Linked DNA regions of Drosophila melanogaster. The protein of the gene in region 1 interacts with the protein of each later gene in a pairwise test. Each region holds a gene or a part of one and is shown in the gene's direction. Other genes may lie near its edges. The genes, in order: CG8788 and Gfrl.

The links.
Region 2: the proteins of CG8788 (region 1) and Gfrl interact in a two-hybrid assay, tested with the Drosophila melanogaster proteins (one large-scale study listed by BioGRID).

Annotation. Positions count from the first base shown.
Region 1 is NT_033778.4:9,136,478-9,142,542, forward strand, and holds CG8788 (uncharacterized protein), read left to right. Parts: upstream 1-2,008; 5' UTR 2,009-2,093; intron 2,094-2,460; 5' UTR 2,461-2,791; intron 2,792-2,876; exon of another isoform or gene 2,877-3,502; 5' UTR 3,503-3,591; coding exon 3,592-3,821; intron 3,822-4,218; exon of another isoform or gene 4,219-4,644; intron 4,645-4,744; exon of another isoform or gene 4,745-4,884; intron 4,885-4,960; coding exon 4,961-4,973; 3' UTR 4,974-5,236; coding exon of another isoform or gene 5,237-5,374; 3' UTR 5,375-5,504; downstream 5,505-6,065. Other genes in the region: alc (alicorn), read right to left, coding at 475-1,122; CG44286 (uncharacterized protein), read left to right, coding at 5,237-5,374.
Region 2 is NT_033777.3:20,446,547-20,451,581, reverse strand, and holds the start of Gfrl (glial cell line-derived neurotrophic family receptor-like), read left to right. Parts: upstream 1-1,894; 5' UTR 1,895-2,123; exon of another isoform or gene 2,124-2,137; intron 2,138-5,035.

The DNA of each region.
Region 1 (6,065 bases):
TAGGTCATATATTCTATCACAGTCCTGAACTTTGTTATCCAGAAAAATATTTTATCTAAGAAAACGTTACTATTCCCTTAAATCTTTTCTATAGTTCAAATTGTTCGCCTGATAGCAATGTTCAATGGTCACTTAGATAAACTGTGTCCACAAAACTAGCGACATCCAACCGGATTTAGTAGTAATCTACAAATGGGTTTTATCGCAGTTTGCTCCCTTAAACTTGTAACTTTAATTGCATTTGTTATTTGCGAAGCATTTGAACGGGGTTCCTCAAAAAAAAAACAAAAAAAAAGCTAAAGCCGGATGAGCATCTCTGAACCCAATTGAAATCCACTACGATTACTGGGAGACTTCGTTTTGTTTACGGCGATTACACAACCCGGGGCGAAAATCGGTAACTGCGTCATTCGGGCGCCCGAATCAAAAACACTGAATAGCCTGCTGCATATATTGATTTTCCGCCCAACTGACCAGCTTGGGATCGTGCTTCCACTCGCCGTCCACGCAGAACTTGTACTGATGGTCGCCCTCCGGCAGATCTATGATGGTCACGAAGTTCTGATGGCTGCGCACCATGGCCATGGGCTTCCAATCGGAGAATGTGCCCGAGATGGTGACGTTCTTGCCGCCGCCGTCCCACCGCAGAACTGTGGGCAGTGCCGTCTTCCGGATGTCGTCCTCATCGCCGGTTAACTGAGATCCAGTCGCTGGCTCCGCTCCTACCGCTGCCTCCTCCTCCTCCTCGTTGTTGTCCATGCTGGAGTGGTCTCGGGTAACAGCTGATGTCGCGTCGTCGTGTGCGGTGCCTCGTCTAGTGGATCCAGTTCCAGTTCCCGTGTAGTACGGGTCGTCGTCTTCTTGCGACGAGCCCTCGTTCAAGACTGCCGTATGTTTTTTGTCGAACGAGAAAGCTTGGCCTCCGCCGCCTCCTCCTCCACCCCCCGCAGCTCCCACCGCCCCCGCTGCAGCGCCCAGAGCTGCTGCGCCAGCACTCCCGCCCTGTCCCGCTCCTCCTCCACCAATCGAATCGCGGAAATGTGCGGGAGAGCTCGGCGTGGACAAGTCGGTCGACTTGTGGCGCTCGCGTTGCATGTGCACGGAGGAGCTGGCGTTGCCCATGCTTATTGCCGTACTCGCTGGCTCGTCGGCAGGTCACGGACCGAGTATAATGATTGGATTTGGACTGGGTTCGACTGCTCCCTTTGTTTGGCACTTTATACTTCGCTTTAAAATGGACTCGCGTTTTTCGTTGGATTACTCTAGTACTCTGATCACATCACCGTTCGTGGCTCGAAGTCTGTGTGTTGTATTTGGCATTTAGTAGGCAGAAAACTGCATTATTTAATCGTTTGTTTCGTAGAAAAATTGCTAATTATAAACATTTACATATATACACAGGCAGTATATTCGCAGTTCCAATTGGCGAGAGCACACGCAGGGTTGCTTTCCCGTGAGTTCAAAACAAAGAAGTTATCGGGCGACAGCACACAGTGTGCCGCCCTGGTCTTAGCAGCTGTGACCGTTATCGGAGCTGCCACTCGATTTGAATTTATAGTTAGGTTGAATGTTCTGAAAATTAAAGTGTCATGGGTTTCCAGCACCTTCAGAAAGTTAAGATTACGTGGAATTAGATTAAAGTGGCAGCCACTCATTAAAGATTTTTAAATTCATAGCAACATTCTTTCAATTCTTATCATTTCAAGACAATAGATTGCATCGGTGAATTGCTTGAGTTTAATCACTATCCCAAAGCTATCAACCAATTAATAAATAGGTTAATGAATCATACAATTTATCTATTTATTTATGAATTCAACAGAATTAATTCCACTGAATTATCGGCTGACAAATCCAGATTAAACGGGTAAAGAGTGCTTTCCTAGTCGACTATATTCCTGTAAATGCGTAAAACGAGCATTACAACAGCGGAAAACTGAGGGTGCAAAGTCCACGACAATCAACATGCATCGGAGCACAATAAAAAGGCAAAAGTGGAAAGGAAGACTAGGCAAGACCGAGAAGAGTGACAAAGAGCGAGGGCGGAAGTGCGGCGAGGACAAGGCTGATCTGCGATGAACACCAGGTAGAAGGTAAGTGTATCCACCGCACAGATTTAGCCAAAACAGTCCAAAACATATGTATGAAAGCAACTAAAAGAAACGGCGATCAAAACAAACAAATGTTTGGTACCAGTGTACCACAGATGTAGAAACCAGACGCTTTCCAGACTATGGCAGCACCCCAAGAAACTCTTGGAAATACTACTCATTGCTACACCGCACATATGACGTACACTTGGAGAAACAAGCACATTCCAAACAATGCGTATGTACCTAGTTATTTCATTACAAGGAATTGAATTTAATGTACCCAAAGTTAAGCAGTAGCATTTAGTATTTATGTTTTCTGGATATATTAACTGAATGAATAGGAAACTTGTACCTAAATCCATTTCAGATCCGTGCCATTTCTTCCAGTGCACGAGCGGCTTTCCCATGTGTGTGTGCTGCGTGGTAGCCACTCACACAGCGGCAAAACACGACGCCTTCGCATTTAAAATTGATTAAAACTAAAAACACTCGATGCCGACGCCGTGCCTTGTTTCGTTTTCAGTGCGATCGCAGACATTGTGCAAAACGGTTCACAGTTCTCTCCTCGCGACTGCAGGTGATCGAGTTTTTTTCGTTTGAGTGCACTAAAAAAAAACAGAGCAAGCGCAGCAACTGGAGTTGGAGTGAAGCCCCAGGAGTCACGTCCCTTTCGAAGTCGAGTGAACTAAGCATTTAAGGTAGGTCAGTTGGATGGTTGGCTACAATGGGTTGACCTCGCCCGGTTATTAGTCTCGGTTCACTTTGCATTTGGTGCTCTTCAAGGTCCGCAGCCCGCTTATCTGGCCACGTCCGACTAACCCATTGATCGGAGCCCAGAAGGCCCGGCGGAGTCCCAAACAACTTAACTATTTCCCATGGCTCCCGAGGGCGGCGCGTGTTTGCGCCGATTCTCGACCACGTTATCAGCGATCTGCTTAGCCAGTGAACTGTTCTGAACTGCTAATTGATAATATGTATGCGGCAACACCTACATATGTACATACGTATGTGTATACTTACATATTTAGATTCGAGTTGAAACTGCGTCGCATTTGCCACTTAGTTGCCGTTTTCCCAAAGCCTGTTTGATCAGCCTACTCTTCACACATACTCCCCTCCGGATGAAGCACAAAGAGCCTCCATCGGTGAAAAAAAAAAACAAGTATGAAGCTCCAAGATGGCCACTCCACCTGGAGCAGATACGATAATAATAGATGTATACCAAGAGCTTATCAATAGCCCGACTTGTTTTCCAACCGCACCTTAAATAAATTCAATTTGGATCGTACGACGGCCGGAGGAGAAGATCCCCGCACTTGGAAACAGCTAGAGGGGCACGAGCCCACCGAAAAAAACAAGATTTCAGACAAAATAAATAAATTATGGTGTCTTCGCATATATATTTTTAGCTTTATCAATTTCGGCCGTTTTTGCGGAGGCTCGACGCACATACACTCAGACGGCCAATCGGAACCAGATTTGTAGCGAGGGTCGCACCATGGATAGCGTCAAGTCGTTCTTCGCCGGCTCCACCAAGGATGGCAGCCTGTCCAGCAACAGGCAGGCCAATGTGCCCGGCTCCTCAGTCGCCGGCCGCTGGGGTCGCAGCTGGAGCACCAGCTCCCAGCACACGGATCCCGAGCCAGGAGCCACCAGCTCGGTCTCTAGCAAGAGCGCCAATCCGTGCGATGCGAAGCGCAAGGACAGTGACAACTACTTCTACATCATGTGAGTTGGTTGGAGTAAACCTCTTTTAAGGGCCAGATTAGATAGGAGGAATTTGAGTTGACTGACATCTTTATTTGTGTTCCCGTTGGGCAGTTCCAAATTGGAAATAAGAATAGATACCACTACTCAGAAAATAAATAGTTAAGCACTAATTAGAATGATTCATAGTAGATTAGCTTGTTAATCAAAAGATCTTTGTATTCAAGGGATGAATGAATAAGAAATTGTAATCAAGATAAGATTGAAATGATCCTTTTAATCTTTTATATCATTGAAGCAGGTTTCCCACATAGTTACGTAGCCTCAGAGAGTAACTTACTTGTATCTTACTTATATACATATACATATATGGAAAGTATAAAGTATATATAGTGGATAATCTGGTCAAATAGCTCGATCAATGACCCCAATGTTGTTATATAAACCAGTCTAGTAGCACACAGGGTACCTTTTCCCTTCGTATTCCCTAGTTTCTCCATTTCTATCACGTTTTTGGAGCAGTTCCTATGTAGTTTATGGCCCTGTTTACTTGGCACAGGGAATATTTTGATTATCTTGCAACCGCCTTATCAGACGTAGTAGCCCATGAGTAAATGGCTTCGGAGGGTGCAGTAATTTCCGACCAGATAGCCGTTCAATGCCTGCAATTTTCGAATGAACAGGGGTTAAGCTCGATCAGTGGGATTAATTAAATGCCAGAGGAGCGTAGCCGCCGTTCTCTAGCCGATGTTCTGGCAAACCAGTTTGTGCGGTCATAGATTCATTCGTTGGCTCACCTTGAACGTAGATCGCTCGGCCAGGTTGGCTCTGAGCTCTGAGCGAGGTGGGCGATATTGATATTTTGGGGGGATCTGGTCTGGAACTGCATAACCAGTTAAGAATCAGTTGCGAATTAACTGGCGCTGCGAACAGCTGAGTAAGCCACGATCGGGGAATGTTAGTGTCCGGGGATAGCCCCGAAAATAACCAATCTGGGCGTGGGACTTGCCAGGTGGTGTGTACATAAGTGCGTGATTCAGTGGAGCAGCTGGGCAGTTACCATTGGGCATTCTCTCAGCACGCTGTAAGATTCGCGATCGCGTTAGCAATTGCCATACCACAATTGATGCAATAACAACTCTCGTTTCATTTCGTTTAAGGTGGCGCGCTTGAAGATTAACAGATGATTGTGGATCGGAGCACCAGTCGGATGAGTCCTGATCCGTGTCTAAAGTGACCTGCAGCTATATATATATATCTGATACCCTATTAGGAACATCGGAGCGTTGTCACTGGCAACAACCGCCTTTTGCCTTGTTGCACCATCTCCATTGGACGAGTCCGGTGTTTAGTGATACTAGTTATTTATTTACGATTTTACACAAGACATTCATTGTACGTGCTGTCCGATCGATCCCTTCTCCTCCTCCTTCTATATGGACGCCATCACAATCCTGGGCTTGATCTACTGGCTGATCTGCATGATTGCGTTCGGACCACTGATGTTCTTCGTCTGCGTTTACCTGCCAGAGGTTCCGGTGCGATATGTAAAGGGTCTGAGGCAGCAGACCTGAGCGCCTCCATCCTACTTGACTACCCCCAACTAGCAAAGTCCGTAGTAGATAGATTGCCCAAGCCATAGTTAAAATCACATTGATGTACACCCGATCGATTTGCAATAAAAGTATACACAAGAATGCATTCAACTTAAAGGTGTATCGTGATTAAAATAGTGGTATTGTGGGTTTTTCGTAAGATAAGATGTTCTCTTATCCGCGCGTTGATAAGACAAAGAAAGATACATTTGGGGGGTTTTATTCAGAACCTGCTTGTAAGGAACAAGTGTATATAAATAAAATATTTTAGTTGATGTTTTTTTGCGCCTCTCGCGGCTACTGAGTTACCTGCAGTCGAGAGGCTTCATGTTTTTATTTTCGTTTGAATCGCTCGATACAAAGCTAAGACTGCGGAAAGATGAGTGCCACAAAACATATTTGGGTTTTTATCAAAAAGCTACATTTCTTTGTTGGAATATTAGATCTGCATACACCTGATGGCCAATCAGCGTTATTCAAAATAAACAAATCAAATATGAAACTACGTTGATACCTACTTTTGCTCATGTGAGGCCTGACTATGCTTATTTCGTTTATTTTAAAATCACATTCCTAGTTTATGTACCATTTGTTGAATTGCCAAAGGAATTAATGCCTTGTATTCTCTCCCTCGCTTCGAACTAAAATTTTGCTTAATTAACAGCAGTAT
Region 2 (5,035 bases), on another chromosome or scaffold:
GCACTACCAAAAAAACACTTGTTTTCAATTAATTAGGCAAATGAACTAAAGCGCTTTATAAGTAAATTGAAAACAAGAAGTGGTAGGAAATCGTATTCGAATCAGGCACTAAGCATTTTCTTTTAACGGGCAGTGTAACAGGTAAAACAAATTGCTCCGAACCGAGCATAAATTAGCAATGGCAATGTAATTACACTTTCATTAGATTAAAATATCATAAGTGCCATAAAAATTAAGTTATGCCGAGGGGCGAGCACAATGGAAATGAAATAATCAGCTTACCTCGGCTGCGGGAAAACATAAAAGTCCGGCCGCACAAAAGAGCCTCGCCGTCGAGGAGCCACCGCGTTGCCAGGACACCGGCCAGGACTCATTGTTTTGGCAAGGAATCGCTTTGATTTCACGCGATAATTACAACGTGCTCCGCGAAGAATTATTCCGACTTGGGTTCGTGCAGCTATTCAGGTGGCAAACTTCGGGATCCTCAATCCCTGAGTCCGCCCACCAATTCTGGTGGAATCGGAGCGTTTCCTTGAGTCCTTTCGACGGCCAGTATTTATAGCCCCGGCGACATTTTGACATGCCGGGAGTGCCGACGCCCAGAGCCAATTTCTTGACCCCTGGCCAATTTTGACCCATTCTTTTAGGTCTTGCAAAGAGGAATTAATATTTTTGGAAACACTTATTACTCTCTGATTTATGGAAACTATGGTTTTATTTAACTAAACGTTAGTAAGGAGGTGTATTTCTCACATCTATATCTTGACTAGCTACAAACATTTATAGAAAAGATCATTTTAATTTTAAATTTGTATTAAATAAAAGATTCAATATTGCAAGACTTTTAGCATAAGTACGCAAAATTCCTTAATTTAAATAAAATATTTTAAAATTATCCCACCCAGCTTATTTCCATATATTTTGATACAAAACTCGATTGCATATCACGACATATAAATAATAAGCTGTGAAAGTATTTTCGGGAACTTTTGGGTTCATTTTTGTTGCGAATATTTTTTGTCGATGCCCTTTCATTTTTTAGTTCTAGCCAGCAAAATGGGCTGGCGGGTGTGGGTGAAGTGTCGAAGGGTTATCCTTTTTTGTGTGTGTTTCTTTTGCCAATTACCGCACGCTTCGTGAGGCATGGTCGCCGCTTCGGGCACTCGCTGCGTATACGTAATTTTTATTGGACACTCTCACGCGTCGTCATCCATCGTCTGCCGTCGTTTCCACCATCCATCCATTCGTTTTTGTGTCACGTCGTGAGCTTTTGGCTCGTACGCAGAGTCCTAGGCCAACACGAGAATTTTAATAAGAAATCTGATAAGTAAGCTCTAAATGCGTACGTTATTAAACAGAAGTCATTTGTATCTAATATCCATTAGGGTGACGTTTGTATAGCTTGATATCAAAACATAAAGCTTTAATAATATAAATTTAGAAATGTTCTCACTTACATACATAATTGAAGTCTATTATGGACTTGACATTTGAATAACGCTAACAATACGTTTTTGTATATTAAAATACCAAAAGTACTTATAATTTTGCAAAACTACAGTAAACTTTTTAAAGGAAATGTTTAAAATGGAATAGAACTTGCGAAGCGAGTGACTTTCGATACAAGACCTTGTTTCCTACAGTTTGAGAGTCATACTCTGCTTATTCCACGAAAAAAACGAGAATGGAGAGGGAACTTACTCGCCGAATGTGCAACCAAAACAAAACGGATAATTGTTAGTGTCCTTTCTCTCTTTTACTCTCAGCTGGAAATCTCTGACTTTACAGCTGTTATTTGGACTGTTAATTTACATTTGCCGATGGCCCAGAGAACTCGGAGCCGAGTCCTTAGAGCTTCGTGCGGTGAAAGGACCCGACTTCGTACGGGCCAAACAGTTTTCGACTGAGACTCGTGACGAACGGACGCGCGGCCAATGGCAAGCGGGCAGTGCGATTCAATTCGATGCGAATTCGACTCTAGCGGAAGCGGAAATACGAATGCCAGCGAATTGCCAATGGCACGGCTGATATGTGTGCGTGCCGCGAGCGAGGATCGTCGAGTCGAGTGAATGGAATATCCAGAAACGTCGATCGCAATCTTCGAGTCAACACGGAGCTAAGCTGTAAATCATAAAGTGTCAGTCAGAAAAACCAACAAAAATCAGTCGAGTGTGCTTTCTTCGCCCGAGATTTGTGCCACTGCATACTATAGCCCATAGTATATAATTTAATTTGCCAAATGTGTTGGAAAATTGTATGGCCCGGCGAAGGGGAAAGTGGCAAGCAAAGGAAAACTCCGAGCAGCAGCTGGCAGTGCCGCACGGCTTACTGCTTACTGCTTATGCTGGTAATGGGTTAATGCGGTTGAGCACTCGCATGCCTTCACGCTTATCCCCCCACCACCCATTGCCCCTCTTCCATCTCACATCGCTCCGAAAAAGCAAATATTTCATGTTATTTACCTAGGTGCGCCACTTTCGTTAATTGTATGCAAAAAAGTTGCCAACCTTATCCCCTCCCACCACACTATGGCACACTCTCCGTGTGTGAGTGAAGTGAAGTTTTTGGCTCAGGTTTATTCGCTACAACAACTTTCGGGTGGCTGGTTCAATTACAAACCCCTGGCCCACGGCCCACAGCCCACAGCCCACGGCCCATCGCATATCGCCTGCCGCACTATTTCCGCTCTAAAATTTGAGCCAACTTGCCGTTGCCAGCTGGGCTCCTCTTGGTTTAGTACTGTTTCAGCAAAGCAAAACCTGTTCCTGCGACGTTGCTGCGCCTCACTTAGTAAATAAATTGGCAATCGCATTTAATGTGAGTTTATGTGCGTCGATACCTTGGGTCGACTGCTCGGCTCGGCTCCTCTACTCTGCCATTTGGTAGTTATTTCTTTTTTTTCGGTTTCTTGGCTCGTGCTCATGTGCAAATCGTAAATTCACGTTAATGCCGAAATTTCACGTGATAATGACGTGATTACCTGGCGCACACACACACACAGGCCCACAATGTGGCGATCCATGCACATGTCTCCATGTCCCCATGTCCTCATGTCTCACCATGTCGCCTGCCTATCCTTGTCTGCCAGGACTAGGGGCATAAATACGTAACATCCAACTGGGAACTTGGTACTGGTAACTGGTAACTGCTAACTGGGAACTGGTAACTAGGAACTCACTCCGATGGCAGCTCAACTGAAAAATGAGTGCCCCTAAAATAGTTGCAATGCATTCAACTGAATCGGAGTGCGGTGGTAGTCCTGGCCGGGAATTTCTGGTTAGGCCCAAGCGTAAAATTGTTGGCGTAGTTCCCAAGTGCTGTTCAATGAGTTGGAGTTGAAATTGCTGCAATTGTTCAGTGCCACCGCTCCATTCGTCGTAATCCATTCCCAATTTAAATGGCAAAGGGGTTCTGTTCTGATTTTTTTTAAAGCGTTGCCTAACTGTCTCAAAGTTTCTTTGCAATCGCGTAATTTGGCCGTATTCTTTGCGTTTTATTTGCAACTTTTTAATTACTTTTGAGTAGCGATTTGAACTTTGCGCCTGTCGCCCGTTTACACTCTAATTAAGCGGCCCATTCAAGGGCTCTGTATTTTGTATTTATATCCTTTTGCTCCTGCTCCTGTTTCTTATCGCGCCAAGTAAAAGAAGTTCTCGGCTTTTAAATGCAGCTGTCGCAAGTTGGTGGCGCTTTAAACGTTCGCTGGCATTTCCGTTTCCGTTAAATCGCTCCTAAGCCAGTTTGTTAGTTTTACCTTGACATTTTATGCAGTTTTTCTCGGTGTTATATGTATGTATTTTTTCTAGCTACCTTTTGTGTGCCTTTGTTTTGCTTGTTACCTGCGCGCAATTTTTTCTAGGTACACAGAAAAAATAATCTTAAAGAGATTACGAGATTATGATACCACCTAACTTACATTTGGATGTATAAATAAATTTTCTCATAACTTAGGTCTAGCCAGTTTTCACTTTAGTGGAGTGTTAATAAATTTGTTAAGTTAAATAAATTAACTTACAAAAAAAAAAAAAAAGTTCAAAGAATATCGGTTTCTGACTTCATTCTTTGTGGTCAATCTGGGACATGCCATTATTTAGATACTTTTTGTTTCAGCTACATAAATTGTATTTATTTTGTGAACAACAAAAGAAGTACGCGAAGGTACGCAACTCCAAAGTGAATTATTTCGCCGTGTGTAGTGGCGATGGCAGCAGCTGCTTGTGGAACAACTTTAACATTATTTGCTTTGCTGCAACACTCCCCCGCACCCTGCTCAGCGATCCGTGGCCTTTGTTCGTCTCCGGACTCCTTTCACTTTGAGTTCCCCGCTGTCCGCACCCGAATCATGAATCATTTCTGCCGCTGCACCCACCAACTCCCATCAGCTCCTGCCGTCCTTTTGGCCACATCTAAGTGTTGTTTAATGCAGCTTTTCAACTCATTCGCTTTGACATACACGTGTGTGCCGTGTATGGTTCTGGGTTCCGGCTTCCACTTTCAACTTTCTACTTTTTATTTGCCAACCTTCCAACCTTGGTGCCTTTGCATGTAGCATCAGATTTGCTTATGCAAATGCGTCGCCGAGAAGGGGATTTGCCATTTGCACCGCTCGTCCTCGATCGAAATGTTTACGGTTTCTATTCGAAGAGGGCTGATGTCATAGCTTGTCGATGGCCAGTTTAAATAATTGCCACCGCAATAAATTATTAAATCAACAACAATTACTCACTGGCCGGCCAAAGGGAATCAATCAATGCTTGTGGGGGAGTCGAAAATCGAGTGAAATTAAGTGATGTGGAGTGGAGTGGATTCATAAGCTGACAAAATGCCAGCTCACTCCATGCACCGTAGGTGTATTATAACGAGTTTCATGACAGCAATTATGCGAGGTCGGCACCGCACTCCTCCGCACACACACAAACACACACTCCCGCACATATGAATACTTATTATTACGCATACGCAGTGGTGCCGGAGCAGGCTAATGTGTGGTTTGGGCGTTGCTTTTCGAGGGCTTTGTAATCGATATTACAATGGC